3 linked regions of the Lonchura striata genome follow. The protein of the gene in region 2 binds, or shares a complex with, the protein of the main gene of each other region. Links are inferred from orthologs where the notes say so. Each region holds a gene or a part of one and is shown on either strand. Other genes may lie near its edges.

Region 1 (7,296 bases), on a different chromosome or scaffold from region 2:
CCTTCGGAGCCTCCAGGTCCTTCCCGGGCACCTGGGAACAGCCGGGAGCTGGGATTTTCCTGCACGTCCTGGATCCAGAGCTGCTGCTCTCCCCTGGAGCTGCCTTCGCCTGGGGCAGGCTCTTGTCCTCCTACATGGATTTTTCCAGGTGTTTCCCCACCAGTAATAAATCCGGGGCTCCAGAGCAGGGGAAATCTTTGGGGTGTTGTTTAGTGGGGTTGGGTGCATGTCCTCTGGTTTCCCTCTTGGGTGGGATGAAGGGACAGAGGTGGTGGGACAGGGATGATGGGACAGAGGTGGTGGTGACAGAGGTGATGGAGATGATGGGATAGGGAAGAGGAGACAGGCGTGGTGGTGACAGTGTTGATGGGACAGGGATCATGGGACAGAGATGATGGAGACAGGGAAAGGGGACAGGGGGACAGTGACAGGAATGATGGTGATGGAGATGAGGAGACAGATGATGGGGCAGGTGTGATGGTGACAGGGGTGGTGACAGGGTTGATGGGAGAGGGATGATAGGACAGAGATGATGGTGACAGAGATGATGACAGAAGTGATGGGACAGAGACGATGGTGAGATGGATGATGGTGACAGGGATGATGATAGGACAGAGGTGCTGGTGACAGGGCTGAAGGGACAAGGATGATGGTGACAGGGATGATGGTGACAGGGCTGAAGAAGCAGAGGTGATGGGAACAAGGTTGAAGGGACAGGGATGATGGGACAGAGGTGATGGGAACAGGGATGATGGTGACAGGGATGAAGGGACAGAGGTGATGGGAACAGGGATGATGGTGACAAGGCTGAAGGGACAGAGGTGATGGGAACAGGAATGATGGTGACAGGGATGAAGGGACAGAGGGAATGGGAACAGGGATGATGGGACAGGGATGATGGTGACAGAGGTGATGGGAACAGGGATGATGGTGACAGGGATGAAGGGACAGAGGTGATGGGAACAGGGATGATGGTGACAAGGCTGAAGGGACAGAGGTGATGGGAACAGGAATGATGGTGACAGGGCTGAAGGGACAGAGGTGATGGGAACAGGGATGATGGTGACAGGGATGAAGGGACAGAGGTGATAGGAACAGGGATGATGGTGACAAGGCTGAAGGGACAGGGGATGGGACAGAGGTGATGTGCTGGGGGTGATGATAACAGAGATGCTCTTCCACAGAGGATTAAACAGGTGCTCCTTAAGAGCTGAAATCCAAGGGATCCCCCCACCCCATGTGCAGCTGAAGAAGTTCTTTGCCATATTAATAACAAAATCCAAAGGCTCCTGTGGAGGAGCTCACCCTGAGCTGGAGCAGTGAACCCTCATGGGGTGGTTTTGGGGGAATTAGATGGGAAAGCCCTGGTGTGGTGCAGTGGTGTTGGTTTCCCAGGCTGGAGTGGCCATGCCAGGGCATTCCCTCTCCCTTCCCAGCAGGATGTCATGCCTGGAAGAGCACCTTGGCACTGAGGGAACATTAACCCAGTTTAGAGACTCTGAGTCACTCCAGACTCTTCCCTCATGGAGAAAACCAACAGAAGTCAATTAAAATATTACCAGATATTTTTATATGGACTGATTGTGCCATTCCCACTGCCTGGAATGTTCATCCACCTCTCAGACCATGGCCAGCTCCAAGCATGGGAGCTATCCCATGCGCTGCTGTAGGGTTTTTTGGGAATCATGAAGTTTGGTGAACACCCAAAATTCCTTCAGCTCTGCTGCTGCAGGCTTTTGGGATGGGTGCTTTTATCCCAATGGAATCTCCCTGCTTGCAAATTATTTTATATTCCCTTCCCTTCCCTTCCCTTCCCTTCCCTTCCCTTCCCTTCCCTTCCCTTCCCTGGCAGTTCTTGATGTCATTTCCCACCCCAGGGGTCCCTCTGAGCTCTCCTCACAGCCAGCCTTGGGGACAGGACAGAAAAGGGACATCCCAGCTCGGGGATGAGCCTGAAAATTAAAACTCCTGATTAAAAAAAAAAAAAAATCAGCAGATATCCAGCTTTTTTAGCCATATCCCATCTCGGAAGGAGTAGACCACTATGAGCATGGATCAAGCCATTGGGAATTTGGCTTGTTCTCCCCCAGAGCTGGGATGTCCCTTTTCTGTCCTGAATAATTCCTGAGTGTTGGCCAGGCTTGGCCCCCAATGCCAATGGGGCTTGACCCTCCAATGCCCTAGACCCCCTCAGTGCCCCCCAGTGTCCCAGACTTCCCATTTCCCCAGAGCCCCCATTTCCATTCTCCATCTCTGCCCCAGCCCCCACAATGCCCCATTTCCCCCATTACCTCAGATCCCCTGCATTCCCCAGCCCCCCATTATCCTCCCAATATCCCTGCCCTGCATTTCCAGCCCCACTCATTTCCCCAGGTCCCCCTGTAGCACCAGCCCCACAATGTCCAAGCCCCCACTTCCTCATTGACTCCCCATTACCCTAAATCCCCATTTCCATCCCTGTTACCCCAGATCCCCATTCCCACCCCTCCATTACCCCAGATCCCCATTTCCACCCCCCCCATTACCCCAGATCCCCATTTCCACCCCCCCCATTACCCTAGATCCCCATTTCCACCCCCCCCATTACCCCAGATTCCCATTTCAAAGCCCCATTACCCCAGATCCCTATTTCCACTCCCCACTACCCCAGATCCCTATTTCCACCCCCCGTTACCCCAGACCCCCATTTAACCCCCCCTCATTCTCCCTGCCCCCTTCCCCCCCAGTTCAGCATCCCCCCTTCCCCCCTGGTGCTGCCCTCCTGTCCCATTCCCGGGGTTCAGAGGGAATGGGATGAGCATGGAAAGGGCTGGGGATGGGGGGAAGGGCAGGGGAGTGGGGACGGGGGGATGGATGGCGGGAGGGGGTCGGGAATGGGGGAATTCTTATGAGGGTGGGGAGGTGTGGGGATAGGGGGATGGGGACGGGGTGATGAGGATAGAGAGATGGGGGGTTTGGGGCATGGGGTGGGCACGGGGAGGGGCGGTGATGGGAATGGGGGGGGTGGGGATGAGGAGATATGGGAATTGGGGTGGATAGGGATGGTGGGAAAGTGCTGGGGCTGGGGGTGACGAGGATGGGGGTGTTGGTAAGGTTGGGGGTGTTGAGGATGGGGGGTTGGTAAGGTTGGGGGTGTTGATGAGGATGGGGGTGTTGGTAAGGTTGGGGGTGTTGATGAGGATGGGGGGTTGGTAAGGTTGGGGGTGTTGATGAGGATGGGGGTGTTGGTAAGGTTGGGGGTGTTGATGAGGAGGTGGGTGTGGGTGAGGAGAGGATGTGGTGATGGGGCTGGGGGTGATGAGGATGGGGTGTTGATAAGGTTGGGGGGATGTTGATGGGGAGGGAGGGTGATGATGAGGATGGAGAGGTGTGGGGGTGATGGGGCTGGGGGTGATGAGGGTTAGGGATGTTGATGAGGTTGGGAGGGGTGTTGATGACGACAGGGTGTTGATGACGGGGTGTTGATAAGGTTGGGGGGTGTTGATGATGATAGGAGTGTTGATAAGGTTGGGGGGTGCTGGTGACGATGGGGTGTTGATAAGGTTGGGGGGTGTTGATAAGGTTGGAGGGTGTTGATGATGATGGGGTGTTGATAAGGTTGGGGGGTGCTGGTGACGATGGGATGTTGATAAGGTTGGGGGGGTGCTGATGCCGATGGGGTGTTGATAAGGTTGGGGGGTGCTGATGCCGATGGGATGTTGATAAGGTTGGGGGGTGTTGATGCCGATGGGATGTTGATAAGGTTGGGGGGGTGCTGATGCCGATGGGATGTTGATGAGGTTGGGGGGGTGTTGATGCCGATGGGATGTTGATAAGGTTGGGGGGTGCTGGTGACGATGGGATGTTGATGAGGTTGGGGGGGTGCTGATGCCGATGGGATGTTGATAAGGTTGGGGGGGTGCTGATGCCGATGGGATGTTGATGAGGTTGGGGGTGCTGAAGATGATGCGGGGGTGCTGATGAGGATGGCGCTGTGCGGTGCGGGGGCGCTGCGGGTGCCGCGGGGCTGCCGGGGCCGGGGCTGCCGGGCCGGGGGTGTGCGGGGGTTCCCGCGCGGAGCGGCGCGCAGCGAGCGCGGCCCCGCGGAGCCGGAGCGCGCCGCCCCCGCCCCCGCCCCGCCGCGCCCGGGGGGGGTAGCGGCGGCGGCGCCGCGCTGACGGCTCGGTGGGCACCGCGATGCTGCGGGCCGCGGCCGAGCGGGGCTGAGCGGCGGCGGGGGCCGGCGAGCGGAGCCCAGGGAAGGGGGGGCCGCGGCGGCGGCGGGCGGAGGGGAGGGCGGGCGGGCGGGCGGGGGGGGGGGGGGGGGGCGGCGAGCGATGGATGAGGACAACATGACGAGGAGCGAGGAGCAGGAGCTGAGTCTGCAGAAGGCGCTGCAGCAGTGCGAGCTGGTCCAGAACATGATCGACATCAGCATCTCCAACCTGGAGGGGCTCCGCACCAAGTGCGCCGCCTCCAACGACCTCACGCAGAAGGAGATCCGCACCCTGGAGGTACGGGCCCGCCGACCCCCCCCAACATCAACACCCCCCCATCGGTCTCCCCCCCACCCCCCCCGGGCCGCGGCGGGTTCCCCCGCGGCGCTGCGGTGCGCCCGAGTGAGGCTGCGCGCTCTGCAGGTGGCCCCGAGGTGGGTCCGGGACCACCGAACCCTCCTGCCGGGACCCACCGGGGCCGCCCGGCCCCGGCCGCAGCCTCCCGGTATCCTCCCGGTACCCCCCGGCATCCCCCGGCCCGGCGGCGTCCCTCCGCCGGCTTCCACCGGCCGGCAGGCGGCATCCCCCGGCCCACCTGGATCTCCCGGCCCACCTGCATCCCTTCCCCCTTCCTGCATCCCCCGGCCCGGCCGCATCCCTTCCTCCAGGCTCCTGCTCAGCCGGGCTGCGTCCCTTCCAGCGGGCTGCATCCCATCGGCCCACCTGCACCCCTGCTGCCTGCCTCCATCCCCCCAGCCTGCCTGCATCCCTTTCCCCGGGCTGCATCCCTTCGGCCCACCTGCATTCCTTGTGGCAGGCTGCATCCCACGGGCCTGGCTGCATCCCTTCCACCAGGCAGCATCCCCTCAGCCCGCCTGCATCCCTTCCACGGGGCTGCATCCCCTGGGCCTGGCTGAATCCCCTTCCCTGAGCTGCATCCCCTCAGCCCACCTGCATCCCTTGGGATCCAGCAGGCTCCAGCATCCCCCTGGCCCACCTGCATCCCTCCCTGCAGGCAGCAGCCCCCGGCCCGGCTGCCTTCCCCCCTCCCCACTCCTGCCTCCCAGAGGATGAGGCTCCCCTTGGAGCGTGCTGAGCCCCCGCTGGGGTGAATTTGTGGTTCAGCAGGAGGTCGGTGGGCTGGGACGGGCAGGGAACAGCCAGGGATTCCCAGGGCTGAGCGGGATCCCTGCAGCTGGCACGGAGCGAGGAGAAGCGAGGCCGTGACCCTGGGGAGACGCCAGCAGGGCTGTGCTGGTGCTGTGGGGGCGGCTGGCGCGGAGCTGGGGCTGTGGGTGGGGGGATTGCCGAGCCTGATCCCACTCAGGCCTTTCAGCTGCTCCTGCAGCCCCTCTGTTGGCTCTGGACCGTGACTGGAACACCCTGTCCTGCTGCTTTCGCTCCCCGAGTTCCTGAGTGCTGTGGGAAGAATTGGGGCATCACCATGTCACTGCTGTGCCACTCGTGGGGAGACCAAATTTTGGGGTGCAGCTCCCTGCTCTGCATCCCAACTTGTGCTCATTCCTGCTCCCATCCTGCTGTTACCTCCCCTTGATCCAAGCCCTGTCTCATCCCAACTCTGTGTGAGGGGCTGGGAGCGTTGGCCCTGGAGCAACCTCGGGAGAGGGATAACAGTGGTTTTGGGGTGTGCTGGAGACTTTTTGGGATGCAGGCAGGCTTCAAATCACCAGGAGAACCTTCCAGGAGGTGCAGGACTTCAGGAGCTCATCCCACATGGAGTGATTGGCCTCGTTGAGGTCAGCACTGAGCCTGTGTCCCATGGACATGGAGGGAGCAGGGGAGCGTGGTGGAGCCATCCTGGTGGGATGCTCCTTCCCAGCACCCCAGTGGCACCGGGGCAGCCCAGCTGGGGCTGGATGCAGGATCAGGGCCATGTTATCCTACAAACACTCACAGGAATTGCCTCTCCAGCCCCGATGGATCACCCAGTGCCAGCCACAGGGAGCCCTGGCATTACTGTCCCTAAAAGACCTCCAAACCTGGAGCTTGGGATCTTCCAGCCAAGGACATTCCTGCTGACACTCTGGTTGTTTTTCACCTCAAACCCAGGGTGATTCCCACAGATTCCCGATGCCAGCCCTGGGCTGGTTCCTGGTGTTGTCCTGGGTTGCCACCAGCGTCAGCAGGAGCAGAGCTTGGCCCTGAGTCCCCAAGTCCCCGAGTCTCTGTGTCCCTGAGTCCCTGCTGCCACCACCACGTCCCAAGGACGTGACACAGACTCCGAGGCCTCGCTCTGTGCCTCTTCCCTTCCCATCTGGTGGCAGCAGAGCCGGGCCAGGCAGTGCCATGGCAAAGGGAGGGGTGGCCTGGGATGTGGCACTGGAGACAGTGCCCAGCCCTTGTGTCAGCACGGGCCTGGAATAAAATGGGATGATCTGTGTTTTTTTGGTTAATCTTCATAGGCTAAACATTGATTTTGCTGGATTAATAGAAGTTTTTCGCCTTCTTTTGTTTTTTTTTCTGTTTTGAGCCACCTTGAGGTAGGTGTGAGCTCCCATCCTCCTGCATCCTGCCATGCAGTGTTTTTGGGATGGGTACCACGGCTGCAGCCTGGTTCCAGGGGCAATCCTTGGAGCTGGGAGGCTTTTTGGGTCTTGCTTATGCCTTGGGATAGGTTCCAGCGGGAACCAAGGCAGCAGCTGGGATAAAACACCTGGAGTGGGAATCCAGACTGGTTTGCTTCCTATGGGGCGGCATCCAGAAGGAGCTGAGCGTTCATCCCTCAGCCCTGCCTGGGCTCTGGGGTTTTATCCCCGTCCAAGTGTGGCAAATTGGGCTAAATTTGAGGTTGGGGTGTAAATATGGATAGGGGCTGCTGCATTTGGTGGAATTTGGGAACGGCAGAAGGAAAGTTTCCTCAGAGCTGGACAATATTCCCGACTGTCCCATAGCACTGTTCTGTCTGTGGGGTTAAAGCCCATCCCAATGTCAAAACATGGGTCACGGCTCCCAGGAACTGGTGGATGGCTCCAGGGATAACCCCAGGATGGACATTTCCTTCTCCCTGGGCTGCCAGGAACAGGGAAATCTCCCAGGATACTTTTGGCTGCTGTGTGGTGAGGCTGGGAAGAGGCTCTGA
Region 2 (7,790 bases):
GAAAAAAGAGAAAAGAGCCATGCACATGATACCCAGGCCTCCTGCACACTCCTAAAGCCCCACACCACGTGCCATAAAAAGCTTTCCCTTGCTCCAGTCAGTGGGCTCCCATCACCAAATAAGGACGAAGACAGAGGACAGGACACAAATGCAAAGCAGGACATCCTGAATCATCCAGCCTCTTCTTTCATTTCCTCCCTTTCCCCTTCCTTTGTGCCAGGAAGTCACGGTGTCAGAAGTGCTCATTCCTACCAGCATTAATGAGTTACAGAACCTTCCCCAGTGACAGCGAGAAAGTCTCGGAATTCCAGCACTCCCCAGGCCCTGCACATCCGTTTGGGCTGGTGCCAAAATCGCCTCTGAGCCTAAATAACTTCCTTCCCTCTGGATGCTGGGTCCTCGGTGCACTCCCAGACAGGAATTTCATCGCCTCGCCCGGAATCTTCCTTTTTGCCTTGCCAAGTCTGCAGAGCTCCTTGGGCGCTTTGCCGTGCCCGAGGAGCAGCGAAGCGTTTGGAGAGGGACAGGTTTGTGTATGCAACGAGTAACCAGAGCCTCACATTGCCAAAATTCCTGGACTGCAGGCTCGGGGCTTCAGCAAGTGTTAATATGGCAGTGCAGGGATGCACGGCATGCACAACAGCCTCACAAACACCTGACTGAGGAATTCAGGCAGTGACCAAAGGGGGAAAAAACCCAGAGCAGGCTCAGGGAGGAAAATAAACAACCTTACAGATTAAGGAAATGAAAAACAAAAGTGTTTTCAACTCAATTCCAAAAACATTTTTAAATTCTGATGCAACTGGTCTTTGCTATTTGAGATCTTTCACAATGAGGGCTTAAAATTAGCAGGATGAGGGGATATTTCCATGATTAATTAATCCTGGCTGTATATAGGACAACTGGTTGCTGAATTTACTTTCACTAAGCCAGTTCTTTTAAAAATACTGGACACCTCTAAGCCTGGCAAAAGCTCGGTATAAGGTCCTGTGTGTGACACAGATCAGAAGTCTGGGGGACACACGCACAGAGCCCAGCCAAATCAACACACGGAGCAGAAAATGAAGCAAGACAACTGTTCATCAGTGCAAAAAAGACCCAGCACTCCCAGGAGTCTCCAAAGGCTTCCAACAAGTAAATGAGTACCATGCATGTAAAAGCAATTTAAAATTAATGACACTTCTTGCGGGAAGAGATACGATATTGAGTATATTGGGAGCGAGGTGATTTACATCAGATACTACAAGCAGCAAGTGATTGGTGTATCAGATTTATTCTGTAGAACAAGACTAAAACACACAGAGATCCCCGAAGACTAAATCAACATATTCCCAACTGCCTTGAGAAAATCGACTGGGAAGTGCTACTCAGGCAAATATAAAAACACAGTATTTTCCCCCCCTGTCAATCCAGAACAAAAGCCCTGTAATATTTAGATCATAATGCTTAGATACAATCAGTAACTCCTTCCAAAGAACAGTTTTTAAACAGCTCATCACTCAGTTAATCATCAAAAGAGTTTGCTAGAAATGTCACAACTGGAGCTGCAAGATGCTGAATTTTTTTATTTTTCAGGAGGTATTTGCTTGGTTTCAGGATTACATTTCTTTTGCGGTTGATTTGGTTTTGGTTGTTTGATTTTTTTTTTCTTTTAGCTGTTTGGGTGGTTAAAGGAGATCTGAGCCTGTGTGAAAACATGTCACTGATGAACACTGATGAGCACTTTAAAGCCCAGGAGTCGCACATGTCACTGCAAGGCTGCCTGACATCCTCTGTGTCACCGTGCTACAGCAGCACATCGCAGCTGAGTTTCCACCTCCCGGAGAGGACCGACCTGACCATACAGGGGCAGGAATCTGCTCCTCCAAGACACACCTTTGTTTCAAGGCTCACTGAAGGGCTAGCCCGACACCATTGTCTAAAAATCAAGGTGCGAACATTGACCCGCGAACCTCAAATGAAAACCTGCCGTAACATTTCATCACTTCGCGGTGCCGGTGTTGTCTGCCTGACCGAGGCCACCCTGCCCACCCACATCCGTGAGAAATGTGCAGCAGAGGCTTCACCGGCAACCATGCAACCATCCAATATTCGGTATTTTTTCCCTCAGAAGTGTCCCCGTGATCAGCTCAGCCCTTCCCACATTTACAGTGTCATGTTTGTGTTGCCCATAGAGGAGCTCCGAAGCTGTTTCTCCACACACACTCCCTGCCGTACCCAGCACAACACGTCAATTAGTGACAGACAGATCTGCTCCAATTAACGATTGTTTGGGTTAAAGCCAAGGACGAGGAAAACAAAACAAACACCTTTGCTACAAATCTGCGGGCTCCAGTATAAATTCTCCCACACACACGTTTATGAACCGTGCCATCGGAAACGTGTAATTTGGCATTACTAGATAATTATATAAGCTAAGAACCCAGCGGACACCATTACGGGCTAGGACAAAGGAGTTATACAAGTTTCCCCCTGTTTTTTCAGCAGGTTTTTTTCCCCCGCCGATGTGACAGAAGTTTGTTTATTGCCGAAGGCAGCATCCCCTGCCTCCGCGGAGGGCACTGCGAGCATCCCCCGCCCTGGGGTACCCGGGAGTCCCGCCCGGCAGCGGGGCCGGGGCGTGCGGGGCAGGGCGGGCTCGGGAGCACCGCACCCCGCGGACAGCGCCCGGCCCGGCCCGGCCCGCACCCCGCCCCGGCAGCACTCACTCCGCAGAGCTGGTCCCGTTCACGGCGGATCCATCCGGAGCGGGGTTCAGCTGGATCGGCCCGGGCTTCTTCTTCGGCATCTTCGCCCGCACACGGCGCGCAGGGGAGCGGACGGAGCGGCCGCGGCCGCACTTCGGACAGGTCCGAGGGACTTCCTGCGGCGCGGCAAACCGGGCGGGGAGCTGCCCTGTGCGGCGGTGCCCCCGCGGGCTGCGGGCAGGTGGCTGTGAGGCTGCCGGACCCCGCTCCGAGCGCGCCGAGCTCCGGCGGGCACTGCCCGGGATCGGGATGTGCCCGGCCGGGACCGCGCCGGCGCGCGCCGCCCGCGCCCGGCGCGCGCCTGCGCGGGGAGCGCGCGCACGCGCAGGGCGGGGAGCGAGGCCGCGGGAAGCGCTGCTGCCCTCAGAGCGCTGCTGCCCTCACAGCACTGCTGCCCTCACAGCGCTGCTGCCCTCAGAGCCCTGCTGCCCTCACAGCGCTGCTGCCCGGAGCCCTGCTGCCCTCACAGCGCTGCTGCCCTCAGAGCGCTGCTGCCCTCAGAGCCCTGCTGCCCTCACAGCGCTGCTGCCTTCAGAGCCCTGCTGTTCTCACAGCGCTGCTGCCCTCAGAGGGCTGCTGCCCTCACAGCGCTGCTGCCCTCACAGCGCTGCTGCCCTCACAGCGCTCCTGCCTTCAGAGCCCTGCTGTTCTCACAGCGCTGCTGCCCTCACAGCGCTGCTGCCCTCACAGCGCTGCTGCCCTCACAGCGCTGCTGCCCTCAGAGCGCTGCTACCCTCACAGCACTGCTACCCTCAGAGCACTGCTGCCCTCACAGCGCTGCTGCCCTCACAGCGCTCCTGCCTTCAGAGCCCTGCTGTTCTCACAGCGGTGCTGCCCTCACAGCGCTGCTGCCCTCACAACGCTGCTGCCCTCACAGCGCTGCTGCATTCAGAGCCCTGCTGTTCTCACAGCACTGCTGCCCTCACAGCGCTGCTGCCTTCAGAGCCCTGCTGCCCTCACAGCACTGCTACCCTCACAGCACTGCTGCCCTCACAGCGCTGCTGCCCTCAGAGCCCTGCTGCCCTCACAGCGCTGCTGCCCTCCCAGCGCTGCTGCCGGGAGCCCGCCCTGCCCTGTCAGGGTGGGCAGTCCTGGCACAGGCTGCACACAGAAGCTGGAGCTGCCCCATCCCTTGGAAGTGCCCCAGGCCAGGCTGGAGCAACCTGGGACAGGGAAGGTGTCCCTGCCCATGGCACTAGATGGGCTTTAAGGTCCCTTTCAACCCAACCTGTTCTATGATGACTTAAACAGAGCCTTGCTTTAAATCCACTTGCTTCCACAAATCGATGAAGAACCTGTTTTTTTTTTTTTTAAAAGGACGTGCGAACTGCAGTGTTACAAGCAGCGGGAGCAGAGGGATCTCAGAGGTGTCCTATGCCACCGGCTGGACAAAGTAATATATAGTAATATAATTAGAGTGATAAAATTTAGACTTAAGACAATTACAAGACAATAAAAAGCAAAGAATTACAGATGTCCGGATGTTTTTGGGCCCTAAGTTGCCAAAAACATGCTTTGTGAACAAAGTAATAACCTTAAAAGCAATAGCCTGTTGCATATTCATATATCTCATACATGATGCATAAATTCCGTGCAAATTAAGAACGTTTCTGGTTTTGTCAACTTCTGCCCTTTAATCCTGGTGGTTACATAAAGACAGAGAGAAGGTGGAAGAACATTTGTTTTTTCTGATAAGGAGGCTGTAACTCTTTATGGGCCCTTTCACTCTTATCTTTGTGCGAAGAATTTCTTGATTATCTAATCTCTTTCTTGAGCTAGTTAAAAAGTATCTTACATAGCATAGTTTCCATCATAACATTGTGTTATTACCTAAAACTATATTTAACACACCACTTAAGAGAATTAATACAGCCTAACTTTCTAACATTGCACGTATAATATTGATTGTAACCTTTGTGAAAAGCCAATCATAAAATATGCATTTTTCACAAGAGCAATATATATATATCCTTTCTATGGCCGTGTTCTTCCATAGCAGTTCTGTCTCCACAAAGGAGAGTTGAAATGTAAAGGTTCTGTTGTTCCGCTGTGGGTCTTGCAGGGGTTTCAGGGCAAGATATGGAATATTGCAGCACGCAGTGGCCCTGTTTGGACAGCAAAGCAAGTCTGGACACACGTGTGCAGTTAACTGTGACACACACAAAATATATTATCATACAATAATCGTATGATAAGATTCAGGAGATAAAAGGAGTTCCATGCATTTGACTTCCGTGAACAAAGTGACACTACAATCCTGCCTCTGCTGCTGAGATCTGCAAAGAACTTTGCTAAAGTTTGAGTTGCTTTATAAGATTAATTTCTCATTGTCTGAATCCAGCAGAATTCAGCTGAAAACTCTTTTAAGGCCTGTAGGAGTTACACAGTGAGAAGGGCTTACAGGTTTCTTCTGATTTCTGACACAGCTGAGAAATTCTTTCTGTTGCTGCTGTACATTTCTGTACCACACAGCGCTCCATCTGTCAACAAACATGACACATGGAGCAGAAAAGACTGCAGTTACTCATAATTTTGCTTAAGTGATAAATGAAACCTCTCACAGACACACGTGAGCCAAGAAGTGAAGCAGCACTGAGGAACTCAGCACTAAGGTGGAGGTAGTGCCTTGGTATTGGTAAAAGAGTGAAAAAACAGTTTCTTTGGCAGTTCCATTTTTTCCTGATTTTTTCCTGATTTTCCCCTGATTTTCCTAATGGTCCTTTTCATATATAAGACATGTGAATACACCACCTGAATGAATAACATCTTTCCAGCAGTGGACAGGTTTTATACTCCAGTAAGTTGATTCAGACACCAGAAGAAGTGCAGAGTTAATTCCATTACAAAATTTCTACTGTGAATACTTTGGATAAAGAACCAGCCAGAATTCATTATGATTTAAATTTTTGTGGTTTGCAAAAGTACAATTATATTTTAATCAAAGTAAACATTCATGTTTTTACAGAAACTGAAATGATGAACAAAGTTCCCCATATATAATGCAAAAATGCTGAATAGTTCCTGTCATCCATTTCTAAAATAAAAATTAAAAAATTAAATTTTTTCCCCACGGTTTTGCCATTAAAGACATATTCCCTCCTTCCAATTCCAGATATTAAGGGACAGCTCCCTCCTCTGGACACTTTACATTTGCACTGAGAACACTGGACTGTGAAATTACTGATTTCATCAATCTCTTTCAAAATCCCTCTGACCAAAGCACAAAACCCAAAAAAATATCTTGGGTTCACTGTATCTAGAAATAAATTCATGGGCATATGGATTGATGCCACTGAAGAAACAATTTCTGTAATGTTGTCTGTAAAACAAATAGGTTTAACTTCAGTTACTAAAAATTAAGTGCATTTCCCCAGCCAAAACAGAAGACATGTTTTGGAAAATTGAATATTCTCCGTGGCAGGAACTGTGTTTTGCTGTACAAACAGGTGTTTCTGGAGGTGAATCACAGAGGAAAAGGTGAAGAAAAAAGAGAAGGCATTGTCATTTCAGCGAGAGGCTTCTGAGCAGGGAGACTTTCTGATTTATTGATTTCACCACTGCTTGGAAAAATAGAAATAAATTTTCTGTGAAAACAGAAGTGGAACAAAGAAGCTTGTCTTCATTACCACTTTTTTTCCCCTTACAGAAACTGAAATTTTGCCTAATTTCTTGAATAAAAAGAAAAGAAAAACCACAATTATTATATAGATCAATTGCATCTAAATTAAGCCAACTTTTCAAACTCGATTGCCACATAAAGCCACTCATTTTGCTGCCAAAACGTGAACACAAACTTCTATTTGCAAGATTTAATACTTCTTAATCTATTTAGTGGTTAGCAAAGCAAGCTAGGGAAATAATTAGTCCCATAAAGCAATGGCATTTAAGTAGTCTGATCCAAATTTTAATAAAATTGGACAAGAATATCAAAAATTATTTGAAGGGAGCTGACAGAGATCACAACCTGCCTTGCACCTTATTTTCCTCAAGAAACACAGATTTTAAAGAGCACTGTGGGTCACAGCACAATTCGAATGCTTTGTGATATACTATAAGGTTAGAAATGAACATTTAAGGTGGCTGCATAATATCAAATTTAGATTCGATCAGCAAGGTATAAATGTAAATAAGTATAAAGCACAAATAACTGAAATTTGCTTAATCCTTAAGATGTGACTTCCCATTAATACAGATACAATGGGAGCAGTTGTGCTGAGGGTTTAATGGCATGAACAGCTTTGCCAGCACAATATTTGAAGGTTTTTTTGCCGAGCAAATTCTGCTCCCTTAGGAATAAACCCCTTCAAGCATGGAAGAAGGCAATTATCCATTTGACAGATTTGCCTTGCTGTATATTACGTGTAACAAAGCAGGAAATGAGACTGAAATATAAAATAAGGTGCTAATTTTCTGCAGTTTTTCTAATGAAATTACAGTAATCAAACAGAAACAAGCAGTAATATTTCCTTTTCACCTAAGCTAGAAACTAGAAGTGTTTTCTAGAATGGAGGCAGCCTGCAGGGGGGTTTTTGTTTGTTTTTTCCTGACTTATTATTTTAGCAGCATGTGGCTGGTTATTCATTTCCTGAGGAAAAACCAATAATCAATGCCTGCCAACATTTGCTTTTTATTTAATTAGGAACATAGGACTGGAAAGAACCACCTAGGTCATCAAGTCCAGTTTCTAATTAAACACTCTTCAAAAATATTGATTAATCAAAGTTGCATAAATATGGTGGATTTTTTATAACCCAGTGTCCTCTGCAGAGATTGTAAGTGATCTTCTGCTTTTTTTTTGTTTTGTTGGTAAGGATTTTTCAGTACAAAGAGTGACTATTATTTTCAATGAAAAGAGCTCATAATTTAGATATTTGATTTTCAGTAATTTTATATGACAATGACAGTATTTTGTGTTGGAAATTTGTGTTTGATCTATGATTATTATTAAATCTCTGTGTTAATTTTCATACTTCAGCTGCCTCAATCGATTGAAGAAATTTGCCATATCTAAAAAGGTAAGATTAATTGATTCAGTGCTAAAAA
Region 3 (7,443 bases), on a different chromosome or scaffold from region 2:
ACCCAAACCAGACCTTGTGGCATCAAAGAACCCAGTCTGCTAATAACCAAACTAACAGAACCTACTTTCCACTACAGGGAAACTCCCTGCCCTTCTAAGAAATGGCCTGCCTACCCTGAAACAGGGTCAGCTCATATAATACATTATGCTCAACACATCCTTTGCAAGCAATTCCCACAGCCCTTTCTTTCCTCTCCTTCCTGTATCTCAGTTTTCCCTGAGTGCTTATCTGTACCTGCCAAGGTCCAGTTTGAAATCCTTATCTACCATGTGCTTTATTTTGAGAACACCTTACAAGCAAGAGGAATGAGGAAGGAATTAAAGCATTGCGGTAAATGGGGAGGGAGCTAAGCATGAGCCCAAGTGCCCTTGGTTAGGTCGGTGTTCTTGACCTGGCAACTACATGTCACTACACAGTTTATCAGTTTTATTAATGGGACTAAGTTTTCACAGTTCTTTGTCATCTGAAGTCTTTGCACGGAAGAAAAGCCTTGTGAGAATTCAGCCCCAGCCTACATGAGCTCCCAGTCCAGGACTGACGTATAGTACAGATATAGTACAGTGCAGTACAGTGCTCACAGCACTACACTGCCAGTAGCCACTAATCATGACCCGCAGAGCCATTTGGTGACTCACAGAGGCCACCAGGGAAGCACAGCAGGCCCTGGAGATCTCTGAGCTCCCAGCTGCACTCTGGACTCTTCGCGAGCTGCCTGCGGAGTCCACCCACCAGTACCCAGCTCCGTGCAGGACCAGAGCTCATTGCTGTGTTGGCACGACCCCACAGGCAGAGGCACACAGCCACAGTGGCACTGCTGGCACAGGAATCAGGGCACAGGAACTGCACCTGGTACCTGAGACAGCTCTGGGCCCACCTCCTCCAGGGGCACCACAAGCAATGACAGCTTGGGGAAGCAAACACAGGCCCTGAGCTCCTGCAGTCTGGCTCTGTGACTGCAGCCTGGCACAGTCAAGCACAAGACTCGGGCCATGCCTGACATGTGTTTTGGTACAGGCAACCCAACAGCGCAAAGAACATGGAGTCTGTACCCATGCCCACAGCTCCATGTGCGGGCAGAGATCCAGAACTTGGTTGAACTCCCGGAGAAATCACATACTGGACTGTACATCAAAAAGACTTTCTTCTGAACATAAATCTTATGATCATCGGTGAATGTGGCACCCACTTGTTTAAACAGATAAATGCTGAAGAGGATTGTGTGCACACACTCAACAGCTATCGTTGCTTTAAGAAGAGCCTCAAGGTCATAAAATGCCTTTACACTTTGTGAATAAAGGTTTTCTTTTAGAACAGGTCCACAAGCAAAATAGTGATGATAATTTTCTGAAATTATGCTGATTGACATTGTTTGGGCATCGAAAAGGTCCTCAAGTAGGGCTGCCAAAAGGTTATACAAATATTGTGTCACAGAGAATAGTCTTTTGGATACTATTTGGAGGTGACAGGAAGAAGAACAGCACTATAAATTTGGGGGGCAAAAAAGAACCAACTAAAACAAAACACCCCACAAAACAAACTAACCAACCAACCAAAACCACAAAAAAGTCAGACGAAGAATAAAGGAAGAATTATAGATTTCCAGGAGGCTGTGCCAAAAGCTACCTACCACCTATTGTTTCATGGTTTTCTTCCCAACCTGCATTTCTCATGTGATGTATTTTTCAGCATGTAGGTTTATTACAGTTACAGTGTTGTTGATGATCCTTTCTTCCTAAAAAGCCTAACGCTCTATCCAGCTCCACTGTCTCCAGTACCACGTAGAGGAGCACTAGCATTTACATCAAACTTAAATCAAAGAAGAGGACAGGAGGGGATTGCTTGCTTAGGGCAAAACTACCTACACAGAAGGTAAAAGGAAACGTTATTTTAGTTTCTAAAGGTCAAATTAACTAAGGAAAAATACATCTACTTTCCTTTCCTATGTACTTATGTAGCTCTTCATACAGATCCAGCTGTTCTTTGAGAGCATCACAGCAGCGCATGTTTTGTGTTTGAAGAATTTCATATAATCTTTCTAAACAGCAGAATATCTCTCCAGCCCGGTCCATGATGCTGTTTGAGCTACAGCAACAGAGGGAGAAGCAGGATCAGATTAGATCAGTGAAACTGAGCCAGGGATAGAGAGACAGGCCCAGAGCGGAGGGCAGGAAGTATCAGGAGCAAACAGCAAGGACCTGAGGAGGCAAAGGGGAGTTTTCCCAGCACGCCAGGACAGCGGTGTGGGGACACACCTCCTGCCAGCGAGCCTCGAGTCACCTTTGCTCCGCGCCTCACACTGCGCATCCCGCTGCACAGGGACACGGGAGCCCGGCAAGGCCCCGGGGCGCGGCCGAACGGTGCCTCACGGAGCTCCCGCGCACCCGCCCGACAGCCCGGGGCACCGGAGGGGCTGCCCCGCACCTGTCCGCGCTCCGGCGGCACCGCCCGGGGAAGCCGCGGAGGAAGCCGCGGAGGAAGCCGCGGAGCGGAGCGCGGTGCCGACAGGGCGCGGATAGGTGCGGGGCAGCCCCCGGGCTGTCGGGCTCCCGTGTCCCTGTGCAGCGGGGAGCGCCCGGCCCGCTGACAGCTCCGCGGCGGAGCCAGGGCGCCGCTGTCCCCGCCACCAGCGCTCGGCCCGCGGGAGAAGGCGCGGCGCGGCCCCGGGGCCGAGAGGACAGGGCGCCAGGCAGCGGCAGGCCACGGCCGAGCGGGGCAGAGGCGGCAGCTGCGGCGCCCGCGGCTGCCAGCCCGCGCCGTACCTCCAGCGTGCGGATCTCCTGCTGCGTGAGGTCGTTGGACGCGGCACACTTAGTGCGGAGCCCGCGCAGGTTGGAGAGCGAGATGTCGATGAGGTCCTGTAGCAGCCCGCACTGCTGCAGCGTGCTCCGCACGGCCGGCAAGCCCCGCGGCCCCGCCGCCTCGCCGCCGCTCCGCTCCTTCCTCTCCAGCATGCCGGCGGCTCGCAGGGCAGCCGCTCTATCCATCCCTCGGCATCAGGGAGGCCGGGAGGCGAGGCGGCGGCGGGGGAGCGGCGGAGGGAGGGAGGAAAGGAGGGAGGGAGGCGGGCGGGAGGCGACCCGGCCCGGCTCGGCCCGCCCCTCTGCTCTCGCCGGGCAATCACCGCGCGGTACATGCGCGGCCGCCGGGCTCCGCAAGCGCGCCCGCTCCGCCCCCGCCACCGCCCTCCGCGCCCGCCGCCGCCCCGGGGCGCTCCCCTCAGCGCGTCCCTCATCCTTCAGCGCCCTCCTCACCCCTCAGCGCCCGCCTCACCCCTCAGCGTGTCCCTCAGCCCTCAGTGCCCGCCTCACCCCTCAGCGCCCGCCTCACCCCTCAGCGCCCACCTCACCCCTCAGCGTGTCCCTCAGCCCTCAGTGCCCGCCTCACCCCTCAGCGCCCGCCTCACCCCTCAGCGCCCACCTCACCCCTCAGCGTGTCCCTCAGCCCTCAGTGCCCGCCTCAGCCCTCAGTGCCCTCCTCACCCCTCAGCGCCCTCCTCACCCCTCAGTGCCCTCCTCACCCCTCAGCGTGTCCCTCAGCCCTCAGTGCCCGCCTCAGCCCTCAGTGCCCGCCTCACCCCTCAGTGCCCTCCTCACCCCTCAGCGTGTCCCTCAGCCCTCAGTGCCCGCCTCAGCCCTCATTGCCCTCCTCACCCCCCAGTGCCCACCTCACCCTTCAGCGTGTCCCTCACCCCTCAGTGCCCGCCTCAGCCCTCATTGCCCTCCTCACCACTCAGTGCCCGCCTCACCCTTCAGCGTGTCCCTCACCCCTCAGTGCCCGCCTCAGCCCTCAGTGCCCGCCTCACCCCTCAGTGCCCTCCTCACCCCTCAGCGTGTCCCTCAGCCCTCAGTGCCCGCCTCACCCCTCAGCGCCCTCCTCACCCCTCAGTGTGTCCCTCAGCCCTCAGTGCCCGCCTCACCCCTCAGCGCCCTCCTCACCCCTCAGCGCGTCCCTCAGCCCTCAGTGCCCGCCTCAGCCCTCAGCGTGTCCCTCAGCCCTCAGTGCCCGCCTCAGCCCTCATTTCCCTCATTTCCCTCTTCGCTGTCTCCCTGTCCCGTCTGCGCGCCCGCCTCAGCCCCTCGGGTTTGTCAGGGCTCGCAGCTCGCTCTGAGGAGCCCGCGGTCGGCTCCCTCCGAGACCCTGGAGGAAGCTGGGCCGGGGCAGGGGTGGCCTTCCCAGCCCAGGGGAGGTGTGAGCAGGCGTTAGGATAAACGTATTTTAGTGAATATAAGCTTTGAGTACGATAGGTGTGTGGGTTCATCCCTATCGTGAGTAGGAGGGAACTTCATTATTGCCTTGTGGAATCGCTGTGGTTTGAGTTTCCACAATGGAAACGTGAGGAAAATGTCCAGGTAACTGCATTACATTTGGTTTCATATCCAGCCTGTCTGATGGACTCGCACAGAGCTGAGCTGTCAGTGCAGGAACCACTCATCTCCCGATTATTAGAATTGGGACTGTTCATCTGACATGAGGGATCCAGAGAGGCAGTTAGGTTGTACCTTACTAACAGAAGAAGACAGTCTCCTTAATTTGCACTAAATTGATACCAGGTTTTAAAAGCTTAAATGACATCTGAGCCACATGTGGCAATACAGAAGGGAGATTCTTGGGGGGGAAAAAAAAGAAGAAACTATGAATTTAGGACATGAAGCAGTGGAGCAGGCCAAAGCAGCTAAACTGTTTTTTTCATAGTTAGATAAATACTGGTATCCACATCAGTTTGTATAGATTTGCATCAAGTAGTGTGGCATATGCTGTTTAGTAATTTTCTTAAGAATGTGGGTCAGGTTAAGTATTTGATTTTATTGTCATTATTCACATGCTGTAAATTTCATACGCAATAAGGGCTTTGCTGGATTAGGGTTTAATTAGTTTGCCATCTGATGAGTCCTGTGGTTTTGGGAAAGTAACTTTGCTTATTACCTCCATATTTCTGACCTTGTGAAAAAGCCTTTATCTACCCTGTCTGCGCTCAGGAGCACTGGAAGTTTAGCACTGGAAATTTTAGTTTCTAGGACTCTGAGGGATTTAAATCCTCAAGTACAGGTGACTGTGGAACTAGGGAACATTATTAACAGGACATTGTTCTTGTAGACATTCTCCATGTACCCACCTGAGAATATCCATTTGCTTATAGACAAGAGGCCGAGCGCGTTGCATGAGAAAGCAATGGGAATGAGAAAGCATAGGAAACCTGTGGGCCTGCATCACAGGATACTTGGCATTCCCTGCAGTGTTTGTGCGCTGGGAGTGCCGCCCTCATTACCCGGCTGCCGTCCGTGGGCAGCATTCCAGCCCCAGCACACAGGGCTGCCCTTGGGCCTGCGGGAAAAATGTGCTGACTAAACACTGCCTGGGCGTCCATCCCTGCTCATCATCCCTGCTGCTGCCTCCAAGGCTGTGGGGCTGGCGCCTTCCCAGAGCTCAGGCTGCTCTTCCACCACAAGCTTTGTCTGCAGTCCTGGAAGTTTAAGTTGTCTGAAACCACAGCATTCTGTCTATAAGGAGTTGGGGTAAAAACACTGCTTATCAGAGTTTGAAAAGAGAAATACCATGGCTGGGCCATGCTAGAAGGACCATGTGAGCACACTGAATGACCTCTTTTCCCAGAGATTTCAGGAAGTGACATATGTTGTACTTTATACATTAATTGATGCACCTGTTAGGATTTTTCTTTTAATGTACAGTTTATGTAGGGTGGACATAAGAACTGCATTCTCTAGAGTAAAACAATTGTTTGTTTGTTTTTTTTTTTAATTGAGTGAACCGTACCCACATTGTCAACTTCATTGTATAGTGGCCTTTTTTTGCCACTGTGTCAAAAACCAATCGTTCTGAAAACAATAAAATGTGGAATGCCTGAACTGGATCAGAGAAAACTGCTGTGTCCTTGGTTAAGCCACTGACCTAAGGATGGAGAGGATTTCTCTTCCCCACTGCCCCCATCTCTCTTGCCTACACAGATCAGGTTCTAGCTACATGAATAAAGCCCAAACCTTGCTAAGCACCCCTGGAAGTCCTGGACCACAGCAATGGTCTCGGACTCAGTAAAATAAGCTCACTGAGGAAAAATACCTTTTTTTATGTTCTTGGAGAAAGAAAAGCACTGATGCATTTCACATGCTGCCTGTATGAAAAGCCTCTATTACCTTTTTAGCTAGCTTGCCCCAATTTCATTCAGCTATCACAACACTGAATTTAGATGATGAGACTGAATTGCTCTATTTGATGTGTTTAACACATAATAGAGACCTGTTTTAAGAAAATGTAGTGTTGGGATTTGAAGAGCTGAAATGTTAGGTATTTCAGATGAAAGAGGCCTTTATCGTTGATGATTTTCCCCTCAAAGGCTTCCTCCTACACAGCCATAGGAGTATTCCTCTCCCCGGCACAGCACAGGAATACACAGTAGCTCTGGCATGCTTCTCTGCTGGGAAGCTGAGAAACTTAAGTCCTATTTTTAGACATGCTGCTGGATATTCTTGTTAGGATATACAGAGAAAGTGAGGATGGTGAGATGGTGTTCCCGGAACAAATCCTCACCATTCCCTAGTTTAGATATCTCCACTGCTTGCAACTGAGCCAGACCAGTTCACACAAGTATAAGACATGACCTTCACCTTTAAAAAATATTTTTGTCTAAGTCCACTTCTTCCATGGATTTTTTCCTGCTCAGCTGTCTGTGTCAAATGGCGTTTGACTAAATGCAAGGGATGGACCAGCAAATCCACAGATTTGGCAGTGGTGGATCCCAGTGAGTTAGGGATAGATAAAGGAAACTGAACTGTGTGCTGACAACAATGGAGGAAAATATGTGAAAATTAAACACTGCTCCTTTTCTTAAAAATAATTTTCGTGGGTGGGGAAAACATTTGAGTTTGGGCAATCTTGAGGGAATTTCTGCCCCACAAGTGGAAGGCACAAGAAACTGCTATGTAGCTTCACTCAGTGTTTTCTGTGTACAGGTGTCATGGTTTAACCCCAGCTGGCAACTAAGCACCACCAACCCCCTGCTCACTTCCCCTTCAACAGAAAGAAACTTTGAGATGGGACTGCGAGGAGGAGGCCTGGACTGATGTGTTCACCTTACATTCTGGAGTCATGTGAGTAAACAAGCATTGCAGCTGTTACAGCAACCCAAAACTTTCTAGCTTTAAGAACATAAGAATTTTAGTTGTCTATAAAACAAATAAAACCCCCAACATTTATTTTTAGAGTAATCTCATGGGTTTTGCAGTCTTTCTTTAGCATTAGCTGTGTTGCAATAGTGCTGCCTTTTTGTCTGTTATTTATCACCAGTAAAATAAACTGTTTGGGGCAGGAAGAGTCTTTTACTCTCTGCTCGCACAGCAACGCCTGTATCTCGGTGAGAAGCCTCTGAGTGCTGCTGTAATATAAATACTCAATAATTACAGGCCCAGAGGCTTTAGCCCCCACCCCAC

The links.
Region 1: the proteins of MAP2K1 (region 2) and KSR2 are in contact, whole or in part, in a crystal structure (PDB 7UMB), measured with the Homo sapiens proteins. The link is inferred for Lonchura striata from reciprocal best matches to the Homo sapiens genes MAP2K1 and KSR2. Residues at the interface, in NP_002746.1 of Homo sapiens: Val81, Glu102, Met219, Ala220, Asn221, Ser222, Phe223, Val224, Gly225, Thr226, Arg227, Ser228, Met230, Arg234, Leu235, Gln236, Gly237, Met308, Ala309, Ile310, Phe311, Glu312, Leu314, Asp315, Val318, Asn319; in NP_775869.4 of Homo sapiens: Lys674, Arg818, Asp820, Lys821, Leu822, Arg823, Ile824, Gln825, Asn826, Ile837, Arg838, Gln839, Leu840, Ser841, Pro842, Gln877, Pro878, Ala879, Glu880, Ala881, Ile883, Trp884, Gln885, Gly887, Thr888, Met890.
Region 3: the proteins of MAP2K1 (region 2) and KSR1 are in contact, whole or in part, in a crystal structure (PDB 9AXH), measured with the Homo sapiens proteins. The link is inferred for Lonchura striata from reciprocal best matches to the Homo sapiens genes MAP2K1 and KSR1. Residues at the interface, in NP_002746.1 of Homo sapiens: Asp217, Ala220, Asn221, Ser222, Phe223, Val224, Gly225, Thr226, Arg227, Ser228, Met230, Arg234, Leu235, Gln236, Gly237, Met308, Ala309, Ile310, Phe311, Leu314, Asp315, Val318, Asn319; in XP_011523731.1 of Homo sapiens: Asn767, Gln768, Leu769, Lys770, Leu771, Ser772, His773, Leu776, Val784, Arg785, Met787, Thr788, Pro789, Asn823, Gln824, Ala825, Ala826, Glu827, Ala828, Ser829, Ile830, Trp831, Gln832, Gly834, Ser835.

The regions. Positions count from the first base shown.
Region 1 is NC_134620.1:3,087,312-3,094,607, forward strand, and holds the start of KSR2 (kinase suppressor of Ras 2), read left to right. Parts: upstream 1-4,296; 5' UTR 4,297-4,316; coding exon 4,317-4,493; intron 4,494-7,296. UniProt on the Homo sapiens protein: Location-regulated scaffold connecting MEK to RAF. Has very low protein kinase activity and can phosphorylate MAP2K1 at several Ser and Thr residues with very low efficiency (in vitro).
Region 2 is NC_134613.1:22,701,663-22,709,452, reverse strand, and holds the start of MAP2K1 (dual specificity mitogen-activated protein kinase kinase 1), read right to left. Parts: upstream 3,004-7,790; 5' UTR 2,789-3,003; coding exon 2,709-2,788; intron 1-2,708. UniProt on the Homo sapiens protein: Dual specificity protein kinase which acts as an essential component of the MAP kinase signal transduction pathway.
Region 3 is NC_134622.1:11,097,172-11,104,614, reverse strand, and holds the start of KSR1 (kinase suppressor of Ras 1), read right to left. Parts: upstream 3,001-7,443; 5' UTR 2,986-3,000; coding exon 2,761-2,985; intron 1-2,760.